2 linked regions of the Notamacropus eugenii genome follow. The protein of the gene in region 1 binds, or shares a complex with, the protein of each later gene. Links are inferred from orthologs where the notes say so. Each region holds a gene or a part of one and is shown on either strand. Other genes may lie near its edges.

The links. The genes of interacting proteins can lie anywhere in the genome.
Region 2: WRAP53 (region 1) and DKC1 share a complex: the UniProt entries of both Homo sapiens proteins name them as parts of the telomerase holoenzyme complex. The link is inferred for Notamacropus eugenii from reciprocal best matches to the Homo sapiens genes WRAP53 and DKC1.

The regions. Positions count from the first base shown.
Region 1 is NC_092873.1:78,282,013-78,289,907, forward strand, and holds the start of WRAP53 (telomerase Cajal body protein 1), read right to left. Parts: upstream 3,001-7,895; 5' UTR 2,779-3,000; exon of another isoform or gene 2,619-2,778; 5' UTR 2,511-2,618; coding exon 2,299-2,510; intron 2,147-2,298; coding exon 2,048-2,146; intron 1,785-2,047; coding exon 1,673-1,784; intron 1-1,672. UniProt on the Homo sapiens protein: RNA chaperone that plays a key role in telomere maintenance and RNA localization to Cajal bodies. Specifically recognizes and binds the Cajal body box (CAB box) present in both small Cajal body RNAs (scaRNAs) and telomerase RNA template component (TERC).
Region 2 is NC_092879.1:10,721,308-10,728,186, forward strand, and holds the start of DKC1 (H/ACA ribonucleoprotein complex subunit DKC1), read left to right. Parts: upstream 1-3,870; 5' UTR 3,871-4,010; coding exon 4,011-4,026; intron 4,027-4,613; coding exon 4,614-4,681; intron 4,682-5,130; coding exon 5,131-5,217; intron 5,218-6,080; coding exon 6,081-6,172; intron 6,173-6,879.

The DNA of each region.
Region 1 (7,895 bases):
ATGAGAAGAGGAGTGGGGGTTACCTAGTAGGGTTGTCCTCATGTGCACTTGAAAAACACTGCAATCACAACCCTACACCCCAAAAGACTGTCAGCAACTGGGTGAAGGATTAATTGACTTGGAATAAGAACGGAAGCAAGAAGACCAGTAAGAGTTTATTACAATAGTCCAGGCTGGAGCTGATCAAAGCCTGAACCAGAATGAAGGTGGAAAGGAAGAAAGAGACAGACTATTAGGGAAATCAAATCAATAATATCTGGTAATTAACTGAATGTAATTTGTTCTCCTTGCCTGTAGTTCAAGTGATAAGAGTTCACAGATGTGAAGACATGGGGCGGGGGGAAGAGAAGAAATAAGGTGTTAACACTCAATTCCTCTTCCAAATATGAACACCTCTCTAAATCAGATGAGGTAACTCCACTGAGCTGAAAACTGGCTAGGTTCTTTAAATAGCTAAGCCCTGGAAACAACCAGCAGCTTAAGAGTTCAGCAGTCAAGGCCAGGAACCAGCAATCAAGGAAGAATTTAGATATTCACCTCTTGGGAGAAGGGACTTTTTCTCTTCCCTGCTCCAACAAGCCAAAGAAATTTGTTCAGAGAGACATCCAACAGATAATGGAAAATCAGTTCAAGAAGAGTTTGAGACAGAATTGAGGTGACAAGAGAAATACTTCAGAAACTGATTCAGAAAAGTGGTCACTAATATCCAGAACTACCTTTGTGACTGATCCAGGTCTCAAAGCAAAAGAGAGAAACCAGCTATGGACTGAAGAGGGCTAGCCCTGGCAATCTAGAGTCAAGTTCCAGCTCAAGAAAGAGACAGACCTTAGGAACCACATAAAGCATCCCAGTCAGAAGAGATGCTGTGCTTACGAGGGAGCTTAATGATTCTAAGACTTTGAACAGTGGGGACTAGGAAGATAGTGGTAACATCAACGGAAATACATGCCAGGCTTCTTTCAAAGCTCAGCTCAAAAGCCACCTCCTTCAAAGGAAGCCTATCTTGACCCCCAATGCCTGAAGAAATTAGTTTATACACACACATGTATGTATATATATGTGTGTACATGTGCATATATATGTACGTGTGTGCATATATAAATTTTCTATGTATGTCTTACTTTCCCTAAGAGAAGAGAAAGGTCCTTGAGAAGGATAGAAGTAGTTTTACTCTTTCTTGTCCTACTATCAACTGGAACACTGCCTGACATATTGTAGGAGCCAAATGAATACAAAGGAAAAAAAATCCTCCCTTACTCTAAAGAAGCAAAGGATATGGGACACAGGGAAAATAATAGGAGGAAGATTTTAACTGTGGTATTAGGAAAGGCTTAGAGAACACAAACAGACTTCGAGAGAAGCTAAGGAAAATGTGGGAATGCTTTTCAGCCCTAGAAGAAACCTACAGAGTCTGGTTGGACCGTGTACAGGTTGTACAAAAGGAATAATAGGAACTAAGTCTGTAAAGATAAATTATGGCCAGATAGTGGGAAGTTCTACACTTGCATTTTATCCTAGAAGCCACAGGGAGACCAAGGAACATTTCTCTTCAAAAACTTGATGTGGGTCAGATTTATATAAAGAACTTACTATTTACAATCAGGAAGAAAAGACAGGAGGGAACATCTTCCGTAGGGGTGACTGAAGAAAAGGTACAGGTTCCGACACTCACCATTTCTGCATTCTCGAGTTCTTCCTCCTCATTATACAGCTCTGGCGGGAGGTTATAAATCCGCAAGGTGTTGTCGGCACTGTTGGTCAAGAGGCAGGAGCCATCGGGGGCCCTGGAGGCAGAGGAGATTTAGGCTGGATGCCTGGTAGCGGAGTGAGTGGGGAGGTAGGAACTCCTGAGTCCCTGAAGGAAATGGCAGGCACTGGGTCCTGGGAGAGAACTGAGCAATAAAGACCCAGTTCAACTTAATTCAAAGAAGACAGCCCAGATCCAACACCTCCCTGCCACTACAATCTTGTCCTTTCTCATCCAGTACCCTCCCCGCCATCTAATTCACCCAGAATCTTCCTTCTCCTCCCCCACCATTATCCTTACCATTTACAGCCTTTTAGGAAGTTCTCAGGTTGCAAGCTGAACTCTGACCAGGAGCCATTGAGGAGGCGAGGGGGCTGGGAGAAATTGTAGCTCCAGGAGCTGGAAGGAGATGAAGAGTGGGCGCTAGGCTTCGGGAGGACCAGGGGGAGGGGCAGGACAGCCGCGCTGATACTTAGTTGCCGAAGGAAGCAGGGCTGGGAGGGGAAACAAAGCCTTCCCCGAAGGGAGCAGCCCGCCTCCCAGTCACTTACTAGTACTCCTCGCACTCCGGGGCTGGCTCCTGCAGGACTTCCTCCGCCGGCTCACCAGGCGCGAATTCGGGGGCTGCCCCCTCACCCTCGGGGAGGCCGTCGGTTGGGGCGGGCTCCTGCCCTTCTCCAGCAGTCACCTCCTCCACAGGGGCTTCTGCGTCCGGTCCCGGAGGAGCAGGGGTCTCAGGGTCCCGCTCTTCCCCCAGCTCCATAGAAGGGGTCGGGGGCTCCGCTGGCTCGGGCGCAGCCTGGGGGGCGTCATCGCTGCAGCAGGGGGCGAGTGCTGGCTCCGTGGTTATGGTTATTGGGCCCTGGGAAACCTAGGGAAAAACATGGGCCAGGTGGGCGGCGGGGGGCGCTTAAATGTTTGTGTGCACCGCACCGGGCGCGCGCCCCCACACGCACGCGCACACACAAACAAACCCACGAGGGGAGACGCGGGACGCTCCGAGGCGAGGCCTGCTGGGGGAAGGGACTTGCCTAAGATCACAAAAGTAGTGGCGGCTAGAGCCGGCTTTGTGGTGCGCAATACAGGAGGCCGAGGGGGGCCCGCAGGAGTCGAGGGGCGCCTTGCTCTCCACGGGCTGGTCGGGCCACAGGTCCCGGCTCCCCAGCGCAGCCCAAGCCCAGCGGCCGCCAGCCAGGTCCCCCGGAGTAGCGGGGCGCGAGCCAGAGACGCCGTCTTTCTCTGGCGAGATTTCCGCCGGCCTTCTGATTGGTCCTTAGTTGAGCGGGCTACGGAACGGCCGTAAGACAGGCCTGGACTACAACCCCCATCGATCTCCCAGGACTTCCCCCGCCCCTCCGCCTCCGCGGCCACCCTGCTGCTTGCTGGGAGTGGTAGTTCCTAGTCACGTTAGGCAAGGCGCTCTCCCTTCCGCAGCCCCCCTCCCGCCTCTCACCTCCAGGGGACGCCCTGACTACACACTTAGGCCAGCCGCATGGCAGTGGGTGGGGAGGGCTGAGACTGAGGAGGAGAACGGCCCGCCTCCAGTTACTGTAAGCAGTGGAGGAGGCCGTCAAGTCCAGACTTGACATGCGGCGTGTATGGGTGCAGGAGGGCAGGGGACGGAATGCTGTTGGATGTGAGCGGGAGCCAGTCAGAAAAGGAACAAATGGAGCGGATGGTGCTGCTGTGGAGCAAGAGCTGACCCGGATGGTACCGCGGACCCTGGGCAAGTCACTCACCTCTCTGTGCCTCGGTTTCCTCATCTGTAAAATGGACCAAATGAGCTAACATGGAAAGTGCTTTGTAAGCCTTAAAGCGCTTACAGAAATGCTGCTGCGTTTGTCCTTCGTTCTGGAAGAGGACCATGACGTCCAGGTGATGACATGAGTTGCATTGACCTTGACTGGAGGGAGGGAGGGCTGCGCAGGTCACCAGCCTCACTTCTCCTCCAGAGCCATCTGGATCCAAAGACCAGATAGTCACCAGGATGCCTGGAGATGACCCAGGATGCAAGGGAGACCTTGGCCCTTTCAGGCTAAAGCCTTATCATTAGTTATGTCTGGAAAAAGCAGATAGATCATGGAAGATATCAAATGCTAAAAACACTGGCTGTTGCTTAGTGTTGTCTTCCCTAGAGACGCTGAGGAGTCACTGGAAGGTCTGTGGTGGAGAAAGTGATGTGGTCAGGCCTTTGTCCTAGGCAGACCATTATGGCAGCTTGTGGAGGATGGAATGGATGTGAGGGTACCCCACTGGTAAGTTATTTCAGTACTCAAGTGAGGAGTGATTGGAAAATATAACTAGGATGGTTAAGGATGAGTGAAGAAAGAAGAACAGATGGGAGATATGCCCTAAAAATAGGAATGTCAAGACCTAGTAATTTATTGAACATAATACTGGGGCAATCAGAATGAAGACTTGTCAAGGCTAGAGGATGTATTATGTGTGTGCATGTTACATACACACATATAGACTTGGGAATCATCTGTATAAAAATGATCATTGAACCCACAAGAACTAACTGAATCATCAGTGTATAGGGAGAGAGAAGAGGGCCCAGGATGGAGACTTGAGGGATACCCATATTTAGAGTGCCCATTCACTGACTGCCTATAGCAGGAGTGGAGAACCTGCAGTTTTAACAGAACAAATCCTTTTATTAAAAGGGATTTGTTCTGTGAAGTTTGGATTCAGTCAAAGGGCTGCATCTGAGGACTTTAGAGGGCCACACGTGGTCTCGAGGCTGCAGGTTCCTTACCGCTGGCCTATAGTTTCTAGTATAGAATGCAAATTTAAAGTCTTCCACAGTCTGGCTCTGACCTAATTTTATAGCCTTAGTTTATGCTTCTAGAACCTGTAAACATTCCAGTTTTTGCTGAATTTGCACTCCCACTCTTTCCTTAGCTTCTTTCGAGGTCTGCTCAAATGTCTTTCCTAATCTCAAAATCACCAGCCCCAACTGTTGTGCCTCCCATCAATGATAAATAACAATTTGTTGTCAGCAGATTCTAAGACGGCATAGTAGCTTTCCAGGGTCTTTCTTCTGATGATGATCCAGCAAAGGAGGGGACAGAAGAAGCAATCAGAGGTAGGAGGAGCCCCAGAAGAGTCACAGAAATGCTAAGGCTCTGGAGGGTATGATTATACAATGTCAGAGGCTGTAGAAAGGGTCAGTAGAATGAGGACTGATAAAAGATCATGGGATTTTATTAGTGGTAAGATGGAAATTTACCTTGCAGAAAAAACTTTTAATCGAGTATCAGGGTCAAAATCCAGAATGAAAAGTGAATAAGAAACAAGGGAGTGGGAAAAACAAGTGTAGAAAATTTTTTGTAGGACTTTGTGAAAGGAGGGAGAAATAAAGGCAGGATAATAATGATAGGGTCAAGTGAAGGGTTGCTTGTTTTTTAGTGTTTGTTCGTCCTTGGTTGCTGAAGAAGACCATGCCACCAGAGAAGTAATGACATGACTTGCCCTTGATTTTGTTTTGAGGGAGGGAGGGCTGTGCAGGTCACCAGTCTCACTTCTCCTCCAGAGTCATCTGAATCCAGTGACCAGATATTCATCAGGATAACTGGAGATGACCCAGGATGAGGAAATTGGGATTAAGTGATTTGCCCAAGGTCACACAGCTAGTGAGTGTCAAGTGTCTGAGTGAGATTTGAACTCAGGTCCTCCTGACTCCTGCACTGGTGCTCTATCCACTGTACCACCTAGCTGCCCTTGTTTGTTTTTTAATGATGAGAGAGATACATGCTCATGTTTGCAGGCAATGGGAAGGAAGTATTGACTCCTGATAACTCAAGATTGAAGAAGAGAGAGGGGGAATGATTAAAGAGTAAAATTACAGAAGAAGAGGAAAGGGGATAAACAAGAGTACAAAAGTAGAGGTCATGGCAGGGTAAGGTTCTCTTCCTTACAGACTCAATCTCTCTTTATCCACTAGTTTCTTCCCTCCTACCTACAGACATGTCCAGATCTCTCCTATCTTTAAGAAGCATTTACTTGATCCTACAAATCTCCTCAATGTAACCCTTGAAAGTAAAACTCGTAAACAAAGGTTAGGGGTGGGAGGGTCTATATTTTTTTTAATATTTTGATAACTGTATTTCATCAGAATTGGTTTCAATTGTAATCCCATATATTTTATCTTATACATTTATAAACCCTATTTTAAGAAGGGGTTCATGATGCAAAAAAGCTTAAGGACCTGATCCTGGAAAAAGCTGTCTATTGCTTCTATTTTATCACACACACCCCCCCACTCACTTTTCACCCTTTTATGATCTGACTTCTAAACTCAACTGTATATACTCTCTCCAAGATCACTCATGATAACTGTGTCCCTAAATCTACTTTTTCTCAGTTCTCATACTTCTTGACATGGCTGTTGATCAGTCCCTCCTTTTAGATGTTCTCTGCTCCCTCCTCCGTTTCCTTTATATGATCATGCTTCACCCTTCACATGCAGGTATACCTCAAGACTCTCCCTTGCTCATCCTTTCTGTATATTCTCTCTTATTCTTGTTAGTTCTTATGAGTTCAACTATTATCTCTATTCAGATGACTATCAAATCTATATATCCAGGTCCCATCTGTCTCCTAAATCCCAGGCCTGCATCTCTAACTACCTGCTCAACATCTCCACCTAAGATGTACCATAAGCATTTCAAACAGAACATCCAAAAGTGAACTCATCTTTTTTCCCTTAAGCCTTCCCCTTCCCCTAACTTCTGTTGAGGACTCCACCAGGTTTACAACTTAGGATTGCTGACTATGCATTCTCACTCATCCCTTCACAAGTTTTTTTCAACTTTAACCCTACAGTATGTTTCATATCCATTCCCCTCTCTCCACTTACCACAACTACTCTTGTTCAGTTTCTCATCACCTCTTGCTTAGACCATCAAGAGCCTCCTAAGTGGTCCCCCTGAATCCAGGCTCTCATCTCTCCGAACCTATCATCAGCACAGCTTCTGAATTGATATTATTAATGTACAGACCTAATTATTTCTCTTGGTTAGGCAGTGCCTTCACATTGCTGCTAAGAAGAAATAGAAAATCACATATTGGGTAATTAATCCACAATTGCCAGGGCTCCTGCCTGTCTTTCTTTTTTTAAGTTTTGCTTTATCTCATATTTTAAGAAACTACTTTTCTCCCTTCCAGTTCCTCCTAAACATAACAAATATGCATAATGAAGCAAAACAAGTTCTCATATTGGCCACGTCCAAAAAAATGTATGTCTCATTCTGGATTCAAAATCTATCATGTCTCTGGCAAGAAGTGCAAAGCTTGCTTCATCTTAGGTCCTCAGGAAATGTGATTTGTCATTTCATTGACAAGAGTTCTAAAGTCTTTCAGAGTTGTTTTTCTTTATAACATTATCATTGTGCACATTGTACTCTACTTCTGCTCATTTCACTCTGCATCAGATCACAGAAGTATAATCCGTTCCCTCTGAAATTGTCCATTTAATCATTTCTTATGGTGCAATAAATATTCCATTACACTCATGTACCATAATACATTTTAGCCATTACCCAATAGGTGGGTCCTCCCAGAGTTTCTAGTTTCTAGCTAGTACAAAAAGAGCTGCTATAAATATTTATATATTTATATATATGCATATATGTATGTGTATACATATATGTATATATATGCTTTTTGCCTTTTGTCTATGATCTCATAGGGCAAAAGTCTAGTAGTGGTATTTTTTTCATATAAATTGATTTATTTTCAGTTTTCAACATTCTGAGTAGTGGTATTACTGGGTCAAAGGCTAGTAACTTTGGAAGAATAGTTCTAAGTTGCTTTCTACTATGGCTAGACCAATTTATAGCTCCATCAACTATATGTTCTTTCAAAAAGTCCCTGCAAACATTTGTCATTTTCTTCTTTCTCCATCTTTGCCAATACTACTGGTATGAGGTGGAACCTTGTGGTTTCTTTCATTTGCATTTCTCTATTGACAGCACTGATAAATACACCATTTTCATGTTCACGAACTCTGAAATTCCCTTATCTGCTCACAAACCATTGTCATTCTATCTCTTTCTCTGCCTTAAAACCCCAAACCTTGTTTTTCCTCACCATAACCTCCAGTCCCTCATCCCCTGTACTAGCTATTCCTTCTCCATTTTGACCC
Region 2 (6,879 bases), on another chromosome or scaffold:
TGTTCCCGTATCCTCGAGGAATTTGCCACTCCCTCTCTTTAATCCACGATATCTGTTTATTCACTGGCTCCTTTCTTACCTCCCAGGAGCATAGCCAGATCTCCCCTATTCTTTAAGACAAAACCAAACCAAACCAAACTTTCATTTGGTCCTACTATCCCCTCCAGGAATCTTTTCTCTTTCACAGCCAAACTCTTAGAAAAAGTGGTCTTCAGTGACTACCTCCACATCTTTACCTCCCACTCATTTTTCTACCTTTTCCAATCTGGCTTCTATTATCACCCCTGCACAGAAACTGTTCTCTTGGCTTCATCAACAATCTCTTAGTTACTATATCCAAGGGCCTTCTCTTAGGCCTCATCCTTTTTCCTGTCTCTGGACTAGCCCTCTCCTCCTGAATATTCTCTCTGCCCTGGGTTTTTGTGATACAGACCTCTAGTCTCCTCACATTCCTTTGCTGGAATCTGATCTATATGTAGATGTGCACTAGATCTCCATCCTGGGCCCCTCTTCTCTTATATCAGCTAGCTATACTCTCAGTGATTTCATCAGCTCCCATGGGTCCAACTATCATCTCTGTAGCTGACTCCCAAATCTACACATTCAGCTCTCTTTCATTTTCCAAGAAATAGGCCCATATTACCAATTGCTTGTTACATCTTATTGGACCATAAGCATATCAAACATGTCCAGAAAAGAACTCATTTCTCCCCTTCAGCTTACCATTCCTCCTAACATCTTTATTTCTCTATTATCCTTTCAGAACCCAGGTTCATAACCTCAAAGGCATCCTCAACCCTTCAACAATCAACTGATCAATCAAAGAACATTTAGCAAGCTCTTCCTACTATGGTGCTAAGCACTAGGGATTTAAAAAGAGACAAAAGACAGGGCAGAGAAAGAAAAGGCTGGAGCCATGGGAACTGGATTAGTTGGGGAATGGAAGACGAAGTGGACTTGTAAGATCTCTCTCTCTCACACTCTCTCTCTCTCTCTCTCTCACACACACACTCTCTCTCTCTCTCTCTCTCTCTCTCTCTCTCTCTCTCTCTCTCTCTCTTTCTCTCTCTCTCTCTCTCTCTCTCTCTCTCTCATACACGCATATACACACACACACCAGAACAGTTTCCTTGTTATACTGTGAAAATGTATAGAGTTCAAGCATGGGAGAAGAAGATACAGTTTCAGGGATTCAGTTCTAAGAACTAACAGTTCCAAGAGGGTACCCTGAAGCTTTAATAATAATAATAATAATAATAATAATAATAATAATAATAATAATAATAATAAGATGTAGGGCTTGCTTGAGTTCTTGGCACATGTAATTGTTTCTGCTAAATAATAATTGTTTCTCTTTTACCCAGGAACCCTGAAGGTCTTCTCCCAGTTTGATTTTTTTTTTTTAATTTTTGATGATCAAGGGCCATCCCTTGAGCAGCTACTTAAAGAAGCCTATTCATTGAATGGGTGTATCTTACTCAAAGTGAGAATGCTATAGGAACCTTAGCCTGAAAGGGCCAGGGTCTCCCAGTGCATTCTGGGCCATCTCCAGTCATCCTGATGACTATCAGGCCACTGGACCCAGATGGCTCAGGAGAAGAAAGTGAGGTTGGTGACCTTGCACAACCCTCTCTCACTCAAATCAAAGTCAACTGCAAGTCATGTCATCATCTTGATGTCATGGTCCTCTTTGAGAACGAAGGACAAACACCACCACCACCACCACCACCACAACAACAGTAGCAGGTGCTAGGGCTTTGTAAATATTTGCTGAAATGATTTGAGGGCTTTGCTTGAAGGTGATACATACAGGAAATGTTACTCTGAAGTCAATCCAAAGAAGAATGAGCAACATTTTGAATACTAAGTTGCTGTTCTCTGTAGAAGCATGGGAGGCCAGCCACATGGTATGGTGGAAAGCCTGGAGGGCTTAGAATCAGGAAACCTGATACTTTAACTTGCTAGTGTGTGAGAGTCACACTGTTTCTCTGTAAAATGGAGTTAGATAATACTTGTTTATTCTTGGAGTGATAAAGGTGAGGGAGTTCTCATTTAACAGAGAGAAGGCTGGCCTTTGAACAGTGAAGTCTAGAATTCAGATGTTTGGTTCCTTATGCCAGGTGTAAGTCCCAAAATTCCCAGTGCTTCTGAAGAGGGATACCATGTAAGTGCCATGTAACCTGTCTCAGAAGGGACAGTCTCAGAAGTTATTGCTTCTGCTGGAGGATTTCTGGGGTCAAAACTAAGGAGGAATTAAATTGATTGGTCTTGGCTAAAAGTTTCTTACCTAGAAAGCACCTTCACCCACCCACCCACTCATGACCTTAGTGATCTTTGTCTCTTTACTCCTGTACCTTTGCCCTTCTTGTCAGTTAATTTCTATACCCCCATCAACTTTTTCCTTACAATGTATATTCATTTAATTCTAAGTGTCATTAATACTGTGTCTAGCCTCCCTACCAGGCTCTGTCCTGGGCCTGCTTCTCTTTTCTCTCTATACTGTCTCTTGAAGACTTGATCATCTCTACATAGTTGCCTCCAAAATCCATATATCTAGATCTCATATCTCCCCTGAATTTCAGTGGTGTATTTCCAACTCCCTAATAGATATCTCCCCATTTCCGTTCATTGTCTTTCCATTTAATTAAGTTCCAAATTTTATAGTTATCTTTGATTCTTCTAGATCTCTCTCATACCCTCTTCCCCTCAATTTCTAAGCTGTGATGAAGTCCTGTCAATTCTAGCTTCCCCTCATCTCTTGCGTTTGTCTCCTTTGCTTCACTCACATGCCCCAAACCCGAGTCCAGGCCCTCACCTCTTTCTTGAACCACATGCCACAACAGTCTTTTAGCTGGTCTCTTCTCACTCAAATCCATCTTTCCAACAACTCCCTGAATAATCTTCCTGAGACCCATCATACAGCAGTTCCAAATTCTTCAATGCCTTGCTGTTGCCTCTAGGCCAAAATTCAAACCCCTTGGTGTGGCTTTTAAGGTCCTCCATAATCTGGCTCCAAGCTATCTTTTCTAGTCTTTCCCATTATTCCCATTTTAGCTCAACTGTAGTCTTGGTTGTTTCCTATAATGTACCACCTCCCTGACTTCATCATTCAGGCCATACATATGTATACCCCATGCCTGAACTGTAACAGCTTCATCTGGGGGACATCAAGGCACAGTTCAAGTGCCGCATCCTCTGTGGCTCTTTCTTTGATTTTCCCCCACCTCAACGGAAAGTGCTCTCTCTCCCCCTCCAATTCTTTTGTATTTCGTCATTTGTTTCCTTTCGGAATTTGGGAGAAACTAAGATCTTGAGAATAAGCCAGATCTGGGGGTTTGCCTTTATATCCCCAACACAAGCATATAGCAAGGGCCTTAAAAAAGGCGAATGCCAACCAATTTGGGGGAAGGGGTGGGTTGCAGCTGTGATCAGCAGCATCTGTGGGCTCCGTGGGGTCCTCGAGAGCGGCCAGGACGGGGAGGGGCACGGCTGTCACACGGCGCTGCCCACCCAGCCTGGAGGTCTGCAACCAGAGGCTGGCACGGGAAAGGGCCGGATGCCAGGCCTTCCGGGCGTGGGCGCAGCTCATAAGAATGAGGGCCGAGTGGCGAGGCCGGTTATTTTACAGCTGAGGAAAGTGAGGCGCAGAGGCACGACGCGACTAGGCCGGGGTCACAACGGCGGACCAGGTTAGGCCGGGCAGGGCCGGGGCGGTTCGCGCTTCCGCTCGCCCCCCGCCCATCCGCTCTCCCGGGCGCGGCGCCCCTCGCCCCGCGGGCCCGCCTCTGCTCTGGCAGCCAATCAGACACACGAAGACCGCTACGGGGCACCGCCCTCAGCCTCTGGTCAGCCAACGGGCGCCCTGGGACGCTACGCGTCACTCTGACGTTAAAGGAGGCCGGCTCTGGGACCGCACTGCCTCACGGGACGGAAGCGGGCTGCCTTCAGTCGTTCCCTTCTGCGCTGGGCTAGAGCACGCGGGCCGGAGGCCCCTGGTTGTGGCCACCAACATGGCGGACGGCGAAGGTAAGAAAGGGCCTCCGCTCCTTTGCGGCCTCCCGGATCTGTACGTCGCGGCGTCCGGCGAGAGCGGCTCACGCAGGGCCCAGCGCGCGGGGGGTGCGGGGCCTGAGCGCCGTTGGCCCGGGCAGGGCCCGAACCTGGCGCGCGGTCCCCGCCTGCGTGCGGCGGCTCGGCTCGGCTCGACCCGGGGCGCTCGGGGAGGGCGGCTCGGCTCGGCTCGGCTCGGCCCGGCCCGGCCCGGGGCGCTCCCGGAGGGTGGCTCGACTCGATCCGGGGCGCTCCCGGAGGGCGGCTCGGCCCGGGCGCTTTAACCGTTATTCCTAGTGGGCGGGCGCGTGCGGGCCCCCGAGGTTGGGGTAGGGGAGGCACAGCATGTCCTGGCAGCCCCCGGAAGCTGCCCCTTAGCTGCGGGTGGTGCCGCGGACGGGGGTTGCTGCCGATGCCCGTGCCCCTGCCCAACCTGTGAACGGGCCACGTGGTGACCCTGGGGAAGGAAGCACGTGTGGGAGTCCTGGAGAAGCAGCCTGATCACGGGCCTGGGCACCCACGAGCCCCAACTTCACAGACATCTTTTGGTTTTTTTTTTTAAGTTGTCATTGTATCCAAGAAGCACAAGAAAAAAAAGGAGCGCAGAGTGTTGGGAGAAGACGATGTCGCTGTGAGTACACGATGCTTTTTCCTTGCCAGTATTGGTAATTCCCCATTTCTTCTTGGGAACTGTAGGATTGGGCCATGTTTAGAAAAGAAAGAACCCGGATGGTGTGCTCTTTTGAGCTAGGAGAGCACCCACATTTGTATTCTGGGAGTCACTCCTCTAGCCTGCTCTCAGGATTCCAAGACAGTATTCACCAAGTACTGTTTGCCACATGCACTCTGCAGTCCTTTCTGCCTTTTCTCTGGAGTATTGGAACACAACTGGCCAGTGTTTTTCATATTTTGTTTCTTTGTGTTTCTGCTTGGTTCTGTGTACCGTTTTTTGGGAGCCACAATCATCCGAAAGGGTTAGGATCAGTTGTTAGGCTTTGTATTTTCTGGCCTGCCTGCACTTAGAGGAAATGCCTGTAATCTATGAAATTGAGGTCATTGGACTTTTTCATCCTGCCTTAGGATCTACAACATGAAGGGGAATTCTTCATCAAACCTGAATCTAAAGTAATTCAGTTGGACACATCTCAGTGGCCCTTACTGCTAAAGGTAAGGAATATGTAAACGTTATACATCAAATAATTGCCTTGTGATTTTATATTGGTTGGGGTTTAATTGATTAAATCAGTTTTGGTGCACAATCTCAACTAGTTCATTTTGTAAACTGAGTTCTGTATACCTGTAAATTCTAGTGCATGGTAAATGTGGTTTATGCATTTTACAAAAAAAGTCCTGTTTATAGATCTGTTGCCAGTTTTTCGTGTCTTCTATAAAATTATACAGGCAGATTTTTGTTTTGTTATTTAAACAAAAACTTGAAGATGTGTATTGTCTAATTGAATTGTTCTTTATGCTATAAGACTTCTCACCTATTAGCTAAAGAAGCATTTTGTTCCTTGTGCTGAGTTGTTCAGAAAGCCTGCCCAAAGAGGCAGTATCCATATCTGTATCCTCAGTGGGGGGCAGCATAATTTTGACAATATACAGTCTCCCTTCCCCCCCATCAGAATCACATAGCACAAGTTGTATCTGTTATTTAAAGCATTTCATTTAAATACTCTGATTCCTTATATTTCATTTTGGGAATCAGTACTGTAGGTAAGAATATTAGAATTTTGAAACTTAAATATTTAGTAAATCCCACAGTGCTCAAGCAGAAATATAAAGTTCTCAAACCAAAAGAAGTCCATTCGAGAGGCCCATGCCTTCTGCTATCTGCAGTGTGATAGCTCAGAAAAATGATTTTGGTGAATTGGTTCCTGGTGTAGATTGGTGGTTTTGTTGATTCATTGGATTTTCCATGTGTGGGACCAGTTGGTCTTAACTCTGGGTCTCTTAGAAAAGGGTAAGTCAAAAAATTGAGAATTTGCTTGCTAATTGAGTTTGATTTGTGTCCTGTCATCACTTTTTAGAACTTCGATAAACTAAATGTAAGGACAACCCACTATACTCCCCTTCCTTCTGGATCTAACCCTCTCAAGAGAGAAATTACAGACTATATCAGGTAAGCTGTTTTGCCAAGTAGTGACTTTTCATTACCTTGGGTTCAAACCTTCTGCCCACTTATATTAAAACTCTTAAAATAAGTAACATATTGGAAGTAATATAATCCTTCCTGTTTGGGGGGTGTGGGGGGGTTTGCTTTAGTACTGTCTGGGGCAATTTGCAGATAAAATCCTATTATATGGCAAAGGGCATGACAAGGCTTTATAACAGAAGTATGTCCATGCAGACTGCCTATGACTTGACACCTGAACTAATATGGTGGGCAAGGAATTCTGCTTAACCAGCAGGTACGACATTTTTTCTCCAATCCCTGATTGGGGGTCAGTTGCTCAGTAAATGTACCTGTTTATCTGCTGTTACTACTTCAGGAAGAGAGGGAGAGAGGGAGCTGTGTGCAGTGAGAGCTTCATGACTCTTGTGCTTCTCACTGAGCAGCAATTACCCTGTGGTGATTCTCATCTCTGTGCACCTGAAACATTGCCAAACATACCTGTTTACTCTACACAATACCCTTAACACAGCAGGGAGGGGGAGGGGGAGGACTAACGCTTGTCTGACATTAGGCTCATAGCCCTTGGACTCCTGGCCACACAGCACCTAGGAAAGTGCTCTCCAAATGACAAAACAAGTTGTAATTTGGTCAAGTGGAGTTTGTTATCCTGAGATTTTCCTTGTATCGCCAAAGCAGTGGCAAACAAGCACCCA